3 linked regions of the Caenorhabditis elegans genome follow. The protein of the gene in region 2 interacts with the protein of the main gene of each other region in a pairwise test. Each region holds a gene or a part of one and is shown on either strand. Other genes may lie near its edges.

The links.
Region 1: the proteins of hpo-9 (region 2) and gly-4 interact in a two-hybrid assay, tested with the Caenorhabditis elegans proteins (one large-scale study listed by BioGRID).
Region 3: the proteins of hpo-9 (region 2) and Y7A5A.2 interact in a two-hybrid assay, tested with the Caenorhabditis elegans proteins (one large-scale study listed by BioGRID).

What each region holds. Positions count from the first base shown.
Region 1 is NC_003283.11:19,892,296-19,897,363, forward strand, and holds the start of gly-4 (Polypeptide N-acetylgalactosaminyltransferase 4), read right to left. Parts: upstream 3,056-5,068; 5' UTR 2,924-3,055; intron 373-2,923; 5' UTR 368-372; coding exon 260-367; intron 97-259; coding exon 1-96. UniProt on the Caenorhabditis elegans protein: Catalyzes the initial reaction in O-linked oligosaccharide biosynthesis, the transfer of an N-acetyl-D-galactosamine residue to a serine or threonine residue on the protein receptor.
Region 2 is NC_003283.11:7,234,364-7,238,942, forward strand, and holds hpo-9 (BTB/POZ domain-containing protein 9), read right to left. Parts: upstream 2,768-4,579; 5' UTR 2,764-2,767; coding exon 2,649-2,763; intron 2,600-2,648; coding exon 1,814-2,599; intron 1,766-1,813; coding exon 1,468-1,765; intron 1,250-1,467; coding exon 1,137-1,249; intron 1,090-1,136; coding exon 656-1,089; 3' UTR 559-655; downstream 1-558. Other genes in the region: C05C8.5 (Exonuclease domain-containing protein), read right to left, coding at 1-128, 174-311, 363-450; Centriolar and ciliogenesis-associated protein hyls-1, read left to right, coding at 3,195-3,291, 3,347-3,517, 3,568-3,722, 3,916-4,148.
Region 3 is NC_003284.9:15,771,154-15,774,603, forward strand, and holds Y7A5A.2 (uncharacterized protein), read right to left. Parts: upstream 1,583-3,450; 5' UTR 1,577-1,582; coding exon 1,475-1,576; intron 1,423-1,474; coding exon 1,288-1,422; intron 918-1,287; coding exon 807-917; intron 751-806; coding exon 664-750; 3' UTR 555-663; downstream 1-554. Other genes in the region: Y7A5A.1 (Delta(24)-sterol reductase), read right to left, coding at 246-338; Y7A5A.13 (uncharacterized protein), read left to right, coding at 2,705-2,800, 2,931-3,032.

The sequences.
Region 1 (5,068 bases), about 13 Mb from region 2:
CGCGCTCTTTTTCGGCCGAATTTCGTCGTTTTGCGGCGGGTTTTGGGGTATTAAAGGGTCGAGCTGTGGTAGTGGTGGTGGATGACGTCCCGGTGGCTGGAAATGATGGGAATTGTAGTTTTTAGTCATATTTGGAGTGTTTTAGTGGAATTTTGAAATTTTGAAAAAAAAAATTTTTTTGAAAATTTTCTAAAAAATTTTTTTTTTCGAAATTTTTTTCACAAAAATTTCAATTTTTTCAAATTTTTAAGAAACTCACCCTTAAGCTTGAGCTCGTAGATTGCACATAAATGAATGCCAATCCAAACAGCCAAATGACTGCCAAAACGGTGCCCACCGTCTTCATTTTCAGCATTCTCGGCAGCATTTTGGCTGAAAAATTGCGAAATTTTTGGTGGAAAACTGAAATTTTTCGAAAAATTAAGTCAAAATTCGAATTCCCCGTGCAAAACTACTCCTAGCCATCAATTTGCAGAGGTTTACTGCAATTTTCCGTCAAATCTGGTGTTTTGGTTTACTGTAGCGTGGTGTTTGCGGACTTGGCACTTGATTTGACGGAATTTTGAAAAGAGATTTTTTGGAAATTTTCAAATTTTATATATTTCAGGTGGAAATTTTTGATTTAAAACTACGAAATTCGAATTCCCCGTCCCAAATTACCGCTATCCCCTATTTTTCAGCGATTTAGTGCAAAATTCCGTCAAATCAGGTGTCAAGTCCGCAAACACCGGGCTACAGTAACCCAAAACACCAGAATTTACGCAATTTTGCACTAATTTGCTGAAAAATGGGGTAAATTTACACGGGGAATTCGAATTTGAACTCAATTTCGATAGAATTTCAAGTTTGGGCCAAAATTTTGGGCTCAAAATCTGTAAATTTCAGAAAATTTTCAATTTTCTCACTTTTAGTTCAAAATATTCGATTTAATATTCCAAAAATCGAATTCTCCGTGCAAAATAACCCCTATCCCGCAATTGTCAGCGTTCTAGTGCAATTTCCCGTCAAATCCGGTGCCCTGGGTTACTGTAGCCTGGTGTTTGCGGACTTGGCACCTGATTTGACGGAATTCTGCGCTAAAATTCTGAAAACTTGTGGCTAGCGGTGAAAAATGACGAGAAATCCGAATTTCTGAGTAAAAAATCGAGAATTTTTGCAGAAAAATGTGAATTCAGAAATTTTTTTTTTTTCAAAAAATTCCGAAAACTTTTTTTTTCAAATTTCTAAAAAACCTTGATTTTCCACATAGTTTCCTCCACTTTTTCTTTCAGAAAGTAGAAAAAAAAATAAAAATCCCAGTAAAACTGCCTAATTACCTAATTACCTAGCGGAATCGCGGAGCATCGTACTAGAGAGGTAATTTTTGGAGTTTTTAGGGTCAAAATGGGATAATCTCGAATTTTTCAAACTTTTTTTTTTTTGGAAATACACTTAAAATTGGGGGTTTTACACAAAAAAGCAAAAAAAAAAAATTTTTTTTTTTGAAAATTTTTTTTTAGCTAAATTTTTTTTTCTAAAAAAAAAGTGAAAAAAGCTGTCATAGTCAGAAAAACGTAACGAATTCGAATTAATCATCCGCATCACTTGCACAATGACACAGAAAAAGGAGCATTCAAGCAATATAATAGAATCGGAAAATTGGAGGAAAAAGACACGCAGGCGGTGAAAAAATAGGAAATTTGATATTTTTTTTCCTTCGACTGCTGCCTGCCTCGCGTCCCATCGTTTTCTTCGTTTTTGGCGTGTGAAATTTATATTTTCGATCGAATTAGGAGCCCCATGCACACACATACGCACAATGCTAGAATCTAAAAGGTTTTTGAAAAAAAAATAAATATTTTTTCCAAAAAAAAAAATTTTTTTTTTTAAATTTTTTCGCGTTTTCATTCAAAATTTTTGATTCTACGTCTCAAATTACCCCGTACTCTCAATTTTTAAAGCTTTAGTGCAATTTTGCGTCAAATCTGGTGTCTTGGGTTACTGTAGCCTGGTGTTTGCGGACTTGGCGCCTGATTTGACGGAATATTGCACTAAACCTGCAAAAAGCGGGGGATAGGGGTAAATTTACACGCGTAATTCGAAATTTTCATGTTTAGGACATGATTTTGAACTAGAAATGTTAGATTTTGGGAAAAATTTCAAAATTTCAATATTTCAGGTGGAAATGTTCGATTTAAAACTACGAATTTCGAATTCACCGTCTCAAATTACCCCGAACCCCAATTTTTATGATTTTAGTGCAATTTTTCGTCAAATCAGGCGTCAGGTACGCAATAGCCAGGCTACAGTAACCCAGGGCACCAGATTTGACGGAAAAATGCACTAAAAAGCTAAAAATGCGGGATAGAGGTAATTTTGCACTGGGAATTTTGATAAATTTGAGTTTTGGCCAAGATTTTTTGGTTGGGGCTCAAAAAAGTCAAAAATGCTTGAATTTCTACAATTTTGAATGAGAATTTTAGCTCTAAAACTTATAAATTCGTTTCAATTACTCCAAGTGATTTTTTGCTTAAAATTTATGTAGTTTGTGGTCTTTGTAGTGCGCAAAAACCGATTTTTCCTATTTTCTAGATGAATTTTCGAAACTTTTACAGTTTCATACCTAACATTTCGCTTTAAAACTATGAAATTCGAATTCTCCGTGTCAAATTACAGACAAAACCCAATTTTCAGACCTTTTGTGCAATTTCCCGTCAAATCTGGTGTTTTGGGTTACTGTAGTCTGGTGTTTGCGGACTTGACACCTGATTTGACGGAATTTTGCACTAAATCGCTGAAAATCGCGGCGTCGGGGTTATTTGGTACGGAGAATTCGAAAATTATAAAAAAATTTTGCAAAAAAAATTATGAGAGAAAATTTTTGGATTTTTTTTTTGAACTTTCCCAAAAAAAAAAAAAATTTTTTTTAATTTTCGAAACTTACCAATTTTTTTTAATGAATGCTTTCTTCTGTGTCTTTATCCAATAATTAAACCAAAAAGAAATGTGTGAAAAGTTGAAAATTTCCCGCACAAGAAGCTCAGTTTCTCGTCCCGGCGGTGGACATGAGTGAGTACTGCAATAGGTGGTGGTGTTATTAATTATGTAAATGGGCATTTTAGTGCGAAAAAATAGGGGAAAAATGGTGTTCGTATAGTGAAATGAAAATGCTCATAAATTTTTGATTTGGGGGAGAATATAAAAAATAAAAAATAAAAAATTTCTTGAAATTTTTTTTTCAAAAATTGTAATTTTTTTAATTTTCCCAAAAAAAATACCCTGAAAACTGAAAAATAGTACAAAAGCGTGTTAGAAAAAAGAAAGATAGACAGGTTGGTTAAAAACCCAAAGGATAGGACAGGTAAAAACCAAGGAAGAAAAAAATTTGGGGAAAAAATTGGATGTATTTAAAAAAAACGGATTTATCAGAAAAAATGTATCAGAGAAAACAACAAAAAATCAATAATGTATATAACAATTTGAAAAAAAAAAACTAAAATTGAGAAAAAAATCGAGAAAAATTTTTTTTCAAAAAAATATATATTTTACATACTAACACTAATATAATATTACATTAAAGTTTTCAAGAAAATTTTAAAAAAAATCGATTTTTTCCAGAAATTCTTAATACTACTAACGCTAATATCAACAACATTAATAAAATTAAAAAATGTTTTTTTCAAAAAATTCAGAAAAAAAAAGTTTTTCATATTTCTAGTACTAATACTCATTAGTTAACGCTAATAACAAATTCGATTAACAAATAATAGTTTTTCAAAAAAAAACGATATTTTTTCCAAAAATGATTAATGCTACTAACGTTAGTATAACATTAAATTAATAATGACGTTTTTTTCAAAAAACTCGAAAAAATTTTCTTATTAATACTACATACTTTAGATAGAGATTAGATAGAGACGAAATTAATTTCAAACAAAAACTTTCCAGAAAATTTATATTAATGAAATCGGAAAAAAAATTTGGAAAAATCCTTACTTACTACATATTAACGCTAATATTATATTGAGACAAACATATTTTTAAAAAAATAATTTTTCAGAAATTTTTAATAATACTAATTACTAACGCTAATATAACTAATATAACACTCACAATTAGATAAATAAAAGATTTTCAAAAAAAAAATGGAATTTTTCCAAAAAAATGATTAATGTTACTAACGCTAATATAACATTAGACTAATAAAGACATATTTTCAAAAAAAAAAATTTTTTTGTTTTTTTTTAGAATATTGTAATACTACTAACGCTAATATTATATAGAGACAAAAATATTTTCAAAAAAAAAAATTTTCTGAAAATTTTAATACTAACTAACGCTAATATGTATAACACTCACAAGTAGATAAATAAACGATTTTTGAAAAAATTATGGAATTTTTTCAAATAAAAAAAATTAATATTACTAACGCTAATATATAACTAATATAGACGTATTTTCAAAAAATTCTCAAAAAAAAATTTCCAAGTAATCATTAATACTACATACTAACGCTAATATTAGATAGAGACGAAATTAATTTCAAAAAAAATGTTCAGAAAATTTGTCATACTAGCAATGTAACGCTAATTTATATTAAATTTATATTACTGAAATCGGAAATTTTTCAAAAATTCCATACTAATTCTAATATAACATTGCTATATAGGATATATTCTCAAAAAAAAAGAATGGAATTTTTCCAAAAAAGTGATTAATGTTACTAACGCTAATATAACATTAGACTAATAAAGACATATTTTCAAAAAAAAAATTTTTTGTTTTTTTTTTTAGAATATTGTAATACTACTAACGCTAATATTAATTATGAACACTGAAGCGGAAGTTTAAAAAAAAAAATTAAAAGAAACTTCTCGTGATAATTATATAAATTGTTCTGGCAATTCTCAATACTTGAAAAAATTGAATTTTATCGATTTTTTGGAAAACTTGTTGAGTTAAAAATGAAAATTTGGGCATAGCTTCCGCATCTCCGGTGGCAAATGCGCTCTATCGCGAATTGTTGGTAAAAAACGCGGTATTTATTGCATTTTCAGCCGAGAATACCGGATTTGTACCACCAATTCGA
Region 2 (4,579 bases):
AAAATCGTCATCCACATTGACACGAACCACTAGGTTCTGAAGGACATTTCTATGATGGGATAGACTGACCCATCTGGGCTTTTGGAGTGATGATCCAAATATGCTGAAGTGAATAAACTGAGCCAGAGCTGGAAAACTATGCGAAAATTGTGGATTTTAAAGTGGATTATTACTTTCGCAGTCTAATCGATGGCCATCACCTAGTCGGGACAGCCTTAACTCTAATTTTGGCTTGGATGGATCATCACTACTTGTACTAGGAGACTTGGTTGGTTTTTCAGAGCTTGTTAATCGACGTCTTTTTGTTGCACCTGAAATTAATTTCTTTTCCTGGAATTTATTTTTTTATTTATTCCCCTTACATTGAAATTCATGTTCTGCTTGTTCTGGTGATTTGAATAGGTTTTCTATCTCTGATTTGAGACTTTTCCTCAGTTCTCGCTTCGCCATCCCTCTCAAAAATCTGAAAAAAACGGTTAGAATTTCAAGAATAAAGAAAATAAAAAAATAAATTTATTTTCGGTGTGTGGCGTCCGTGTATGTGGTTTTTTTTCAAAAGAAATTATTAACATTTTTATTCAATAAATTTAATAACTTATTTTTCATCAGACATTTAAGTGAAATAATGCATTATATATATTTCTGTAACCCGGTTTTATTTTATGGCAATTGGAACGTTTGAGGGAGCCTCGAGATGTACAACGTGAAAGACTTCGTTTATGGAATTCCGGGTACCAACAAGTCGAATATACACAACTGGAAGAGGATCAAATATGAGTTCTTGCCATCCATGACATTCTTCATTGGTGCGGTCGACAATCGTAACCCATTCGTCTTGATTCTTCGATACGGCAACATAATACGAGTAGAATCGATCATCACAATTCCATAACAAAATTCGCATTGAAGATATAATGTAGGGCTGAGCAAGTTGAATCATGATGAGACCACTTCCAATTTGATGACACGTGTATCCAGTATCCCAGTCGTAGGATGAGGAATCCCCGTTGATAAGAGCATTCCGACATCGAGAAACTCCTTCAACAACCCGTGCGTGATTTTCTATCGTTGTGATGTTTCGATGAGGAACTGAGAAAATTGAAATTATATTACATTTCCACAGCAAAATGTGATACCTATGACTTTGTGCACAGGTTCGACAGGCATTGTTTCGGTAGAGAACATGGCTTCGATTCGACTTCCTTCCAGTTTACACGACATTGAATTGTTGACTCGGATCAAAATATGCCTGAAATGCAAATTATGGTGAATAATTTTCGAGTTTCACGGGTTTTCTGTAGAAAATTACTATAGGCGCTGTAGTTTTTTTTCGAAAGTTTTAAATGTTTCGGAAAATGAATAAAAAATAGATCAATTAAACTTCGCCCGTTAGTTCCAAAACCGCCGAAATGTTTTTGAATTTCTACTATTAATGCAATGGATTTTACAATAAAATCAATCACTTACCGCACAACAGAATCTGTGAAGAAGAGTCTTTGTGTTCCTCGACAATCATATTCCGAGTAATCAGCAACTAGATTCCAATGAGCATCAACTCGATTATCCATACTAACGTGAACTTGGTATGTAAATGCTTGAACTTCATTTTTCCAGTTAAAATCCATCATAATTGTATTGATAATGAATGGTTTTCCGAGATCAATTTGAAATACACTAATATTCTCGTCATTAGTGTAGCGACTGCTGAGCTCTCGTGACAATGGCTGTGCGTGTGGATAGTGTGGAATTATATTCGTGTCGAGGCCTATAAAATGGAATAGATTAAACAGAAAATAAATAAAATTCAACTCACTTTTGCATCCTCTGAATGGAATCTCGTGTGGTCTTTGTGTTTGAACTTCTATAGCATCCAGAAGAGTATCAGCTGACACCAACCCAGTTGGTCTTACACAATTAAGAAGTTCGGTTTGTGTTATAAGGGGAAGTCTGACCAATTCCAGCAAAACTTTTGATGCTTCTTTCATTGTTGGATTATTCTGATGCCATGAACGTACCGCATTGAAGATCTTCAATTCTAATGCAAAAAATGAATCTCTCGCAAGAAGCTCCTTCAGACTATCTCCTGATAATCGGTTGAAGCTGGGATCTTCGAGAAGCTGATCTGCATGTTTATCAGAATATTGCATGCAATAATCTATAAGATCAGTGAATTGAAAGAAGTATGCAGCATTGAAAATACTACACAAGTTCTCATTCTTCAAAATTTCCTTGAAATATTCGCTTATTGCTGTCATAAGCTGAATTAAATCATAACGATGTGCCAGACTGAGATATTCTAGCAAAATATCCAGTTCCACTCCGGCAAAATCGATTTTCGATGTGTACATGTACCGAAGAACAGCTCGGAAGGCTACTGAATTCGTTTCCTGAAGAGTCACAAGCTGTTGATGGCTTTCTTGAAAACCTGTATAGAGCATAGCTCGAAAAAAGCTACTTCTCACAGCCAAGATCAAACGATGGGCAGCAAATTCAGTTCCATCGTCGAGAACAAGAGTTACATCGGAGTGGTCTGTTGAAGTGAAAATCTCATCGAAACTTTGTGAAAGCTCATCAAGATGTTGTACAACAGATTTGTTAACTGAAATAATAGCTAATTTTGGTCAATTTTTCTGCTTTTAGAGACTTACCGCTATTCACCGCATTAAAATTATTGGAAATGGCGGCGGATTCTGTTCTCATAGTTTCGACAATTCCTCGTCCATCTTCTTGAATCGGCCGCCCAAAAGCATGGTTATCGCTCATGTACCTGAAAACCCGTCATTATCATTAATTATTGAATTTTAATAAAAAAGTTATTTTAAATTTAATTTTTCGGGATAAAATTAGAAAATTCGGAAAAGTTTTTAACAAGGAGAATGATGGGCGGAGTCATGTTTGGCAATCTGGGCGCACTGTTTTGCAATGGCACCGCGCGCGCTATTTTTTTAAGATTTGAACCTGGCGCGCTTTCTGGCGTTCAATAGAGCACGTTTGCTTTTTTGTTTTTTATTTGTTTTTTTTTTGCACGAACAATATTGTTTGTTGTTACAGAAAAACCCCACCATCTTGTGACTGATCAGATCATTGTGACAATCTCAAAAATATTTTCAAAACGTTACGGGTAGTTTAACGTGTACGTCATTTCCTCCTTGTTCATAAAACACGCTTCATCGAGCATTTGGCTTCAAGGAAAAATGGCAAATTTTACCACTGAAAACGAGCTCGAAGATATTCTTCATCAAATGGGTCACCATATACATGACAAAAACCAATTTGCAACTTTCAAGAATGGTTAGTTTTTTTTCCTAAAATATTTAAATCCAATATAAAAGATCGTATTCTTCAGAAATTGATAATCTACTCGACCGAGAGCTTTGTCTGTCAGATGCCGATGAAGACGTTATGAATGAATCTCTATTTGCTTCATTATCAGTTGATCCAGCCGCTCAATTCATACGACAAGAACGAAATTTTCCAACCGAAAATCTGAATATTCAGTCCCCAATTGTTTCTAGAAGTGAGTTAAGTTTTAAGATTTTCTTCAATTAATCTGTGATTTTTTTTCAGAAAGACAAGGAAAACGGTTTATCTACGAAAATGTAGAGTTACAAAGCGATTTCGACGATGAAAGCTCAAACGAGTATCCTGAGAGAAACCTTCTGGTCGATCGAGCGTGGCGAAGCATACATCGTGCAATGGAAACATGCAATGGTGCCACAGAGGTTTTGACTTTTTCGTTTTTTTTTTTGTTGAAAAATGCTGACTTCCATTCAAGATTTTTTCCATAGATTAAGCTGGAAAATGTTCAAAAAGTCTAAAAATAATAAAATTGAATCCTGTGAGCCAACCGAACGTCAAGATTCAGATGTTTGTGCATTTTATTTTATAAAAAATAAGTTTTAAATATTTTTTCAGACTCTTAAATCAATATCACTGGATGGCAGCGACATACAAGAACGATCAAGTGTGGATGATGAGGAAAATATCGCTGAATCAGTTTCCGTGGGGTTAAGCACTGAAACTGAACAATCAGAGCTTCAAAAATCTTCACGACCGGAAAAAGAAGTTTGGACTCGGAATGTGTTGTCACTTGAACCAGGAAGAGCACCAAAAAAATATGATCCGGTCACAAGATATCATTTCTACAAGTAATTCATTTTATTCAGTTTGAGAGTGTCGTGACTGTGTAGTAGCGATGGAAGAACGTTTTATTTATAATTTTGATTTAGAAAAAATTAAAATACTTTAAAAAGTATTGGCATTATTGAAAAAATCAAAGTATCAAAAATGCCAATTTTTGAAAAGAAAGAAAATATTGGAAAAAAAAAGTTTTCGAAATAATTAAAATATTTCCAACAATATAGACTGAATGAAATAGAATAAAAATCAAATATTTTGATAAAATCGTATTTCCAAAAAAAAAAAGATTAAAAAGTTTTTTTTTACATTTTCAAAAATATGCCAATTTTTAAAAAATCTAAAAAAAGTAAAAAAAAATTAAAATTTGGAAAAAAAACAAAAATATGTTTTAAAAAATGGATAAATTTGTGGAAAATTCAAATCTTTAAAAAATTATATA
Region 3 (3,450 bases), on a different chromosome or scaffold from region 2:
TCCTAATTCTCGTGTACTTGTTCTTTAATGGTATTTCTGAATTTCAGACTATTTTGGGTGTTTTAAAGCTATATTCCCATTCACGCTACTTCATCATTAAAAAATGTTTTTTTTCTACTTGAAAACTTTTTCAATTTTAAATTATAGGTACCACGAAATTTTAATTCAAATTCAAATATTCAAAAACTTCATGTTCTTCCATGTGATTTAACGTATCAATTTTGAAAAAGTTAACAAAAACTCACAAAGCTAGCTGGTAAACAGAACAGCACAATGACTAAACCTCTATTGTCTTCCAACCACCTGATTGCTTTGGCTTTTACCGTTCCAAGCACCATCCCTGAAAAATGCACAGTAAGGAAAAGAAGTTCGGCGAAAGCATAGTCAGTGGCCAGGTATTGACACACAAATGAATAGATAATAAACTAAATGGTCTAATAAGAGACAAGACACGCAGGAAAAGAAAACAGATAAGAGTAGTTGACAACCTGCGACAGAAATCGGTACAAATCACGGAGTTGGTATTGATTGTGTACTTTGAGAGAACTGTTGTAGGATTTGCAAACAATTTATGAGCAAACTAAAGATAAAGTGAGTAAAAATAACAACAAGGTAACAATGAAAATACAGAAAAACAAAAAAGTTTTAACAATTTGCAACGACTCATTCTTTGCGCCGTTTCAGATTTTGATCATTTTCACTTGACAACAGCTTTGGCATTTCACGTTTCAACGCCTTTTTGTGCACTTCCTAAATAGTTTAAAATTGAATTTCATTTAACCAATAGGTTTTATCCCATAACTTACGTTCATTTCTAGAGAATTTAGCATTCTCAGAGAAACGATTGAATTTCCGAATAAGTTTGGTTTTTGGTGTCTTTGGAGGACTTCCGAAAACTGTATTTGTTGCAAAATGTTCTGAAAAAAAACTTTTTTATAAGATTGGAGACAGCATTCAAGGGGGATGTGACTACGAAACTTCTACGAACAACTCTCTCAATTTTATATTGTATTCAATTTTTTAAAGATTTGAATAGAGTTAAATAGAGAATAGTTCTACATAAAGTACTCCACATTTTAATTATTTGTTGTTCAGTGTTTTTGAAAAAAAAATCAAAAATATTACTTAACATATTCTACAGTTATCTTGGCTTTCACTTCTTTTAACTTTGAGTTTTCGTCAACTATCTATTTAATTATAACTTCATGCTAAATTGGAGCCTATCTCACTTTTTCAACTGCTATCAGAGTTGAAAAAGATTTCCCTGCTATCAGATCAGAAACTTACTTCCTTTCTTTCAGCTTCACATTTTTTGAGACATTTTGTTGAGAGATCACTGCTGTATTCGTTAAGAACTTTGAACGGAACATTTTTTGAAACTAAAACCTTTTCAGAATCCAACAAGTCTTGAAAACGGTCGTTCTGAAATTTTCGTGACAATCAAAAAAAACATATGTTGTTAAAGAAATCATACCCAAAATCGTGCTCTATGAATAACAGCCCAGGTCGTTGCGTCTTCAGGAGTGAAAAAGTTGTGTTTTGGAATCTGGTATCTGTCGTTTATTTCTTCTGTCATGGTGTGCTGAAAAATTCATACATAGTAAAAATCGATATCAAAAACCACAAAACAAAAAAAAAACAACAGAATTTTAGACAGGTCTATTTGTACCGCAAAAACCGAAAAGATTGACAAAAAGATAGTGCTTGGAAGAGACGCAGCATGCTGAACAGTTTGTTTGTGTGATGAGTGGTAGTGATTGAATGAGTAGAAAAGAAAGAGAAAGGCAAGGTGCAAAGAGAAAAGGATAAGTTGTACATAGTCAGAGATAATGATAATCAAAAAGAAGAAAATATCGTGTATAATAGAAGAATTGAAATTATATCTTATTCGCTCTTTTTTTAAAGATCATTATGCATAATAGCGCGTTCACTATTAGAAATTTGCCCCAATTAGAGATACACACAAAATAGGAATTCGGAAAATGTATCTCGCACAAATATCTCGCACAAAATGTATTTCAAGGTTACTTCCTAAAGTATGTTTAATATTAAGCCACTCTTTCGAGCTGCAGAGCCAGTATTTTTTCAATCAAAAAAATTATCGAATAGGAAACCGATATCGGTTGAAAAATTCAATATACATACTGTTTTAAAATGAAAAAAAAAACAAAAAAATTCGCAGTCAGCAGGATTCGAACCTACGCGGGCAGAGCCCAATTGATTTCGAGTCAATCTCCTTAACCACTCGGACATGACTGCACAGTGGTACCAATATTTTGTTTACGATCAGGTGAAACGACAAATTTCGGAAGATATAGTTGAGGTTCAGCATACTCCGAATGTTTAATAGCATGCGAAAAATACAAAGGAGAAGCAGTCATGTCCGAGTGGTTAAGGAGATTGACTAGAAATCAATTGGGCTCTGTCCGCGTAGGTTCGAATCCTGCTGACTGCGTATAAATTTTGCTCTCAAATCTAGGTGTTTAATTACTTATAGTTGTGATAATAAATTCTTTTCTTTGTTCTCAATCTTTTACAAAAACTAACACCTACGTAAAATTTTAATTGGATTACAATTATTAAACTCTCGGACCGCGCAACAAACGGAAATCCGGAGAAATCTGAGTACAAGTACAAGTATAAGAATGATGCAATTTAGATTTTAATTCCATATTCGATTCAACCCGCTCTTTTCCAAAAGAAAATGCATTTTCGAGTCGTAGTTGACCGTAGTCAAACAATTGCCTATCGTCGAAGACAAACCAGCTGGGATTCTATTAGACTATGGGCAGTTCAATTGGTAAGTCAAGTTAAAAAAAATATAAATAATGTATAGAAAATTATTTGAATAGCTCAAATTTCTATTAAAACTTTGAAGCTTAGTTTTAACTTTAGAGAAAATTGGCAATATGCCATATATTGAAATTCAGCACGAAGACGGTTGTCTGTGGCGTTTTGCAGCTGTGGTTCTGGTCATGGTCATCCTCCTCGCCATTTTCTTTGTTCCCCTTATGTTCAATAAATTGGTCTGATCATTTTTTGTATCTAATAAAGGTTTCATGAAAATAGCGAGGTCTTGCAAAATGTGAATCAGAAAGCGAATATAAGCTATTTTTATGAAGAAGCACTCACAACGTCAACAAAAGATTACCCCTCCAAAAATGAACTACAATTCGAAATATCGTTTCCTTCGTCAGTAAAGTCCTCCTCCCCAAAATAAGGCATTTTCATCTTGACCGAGTCATGGCACCAGTATCCCCTCTTCATAATGTCGAAATAGTTCCAACTGTGTCTGCAAGTGTGGCTCCAAGACCAATGCGTTTGTTCCTTCAGAGACAAAAGCTCGGAAAGGCCATATGTTGCTGTTGTTCTAAACGAACGGTAAGAAGAATTATCACAAGGTGGTCCATAATTAGGGTGGCACGCGCCTGCTTATTTTTACGCAAGTTT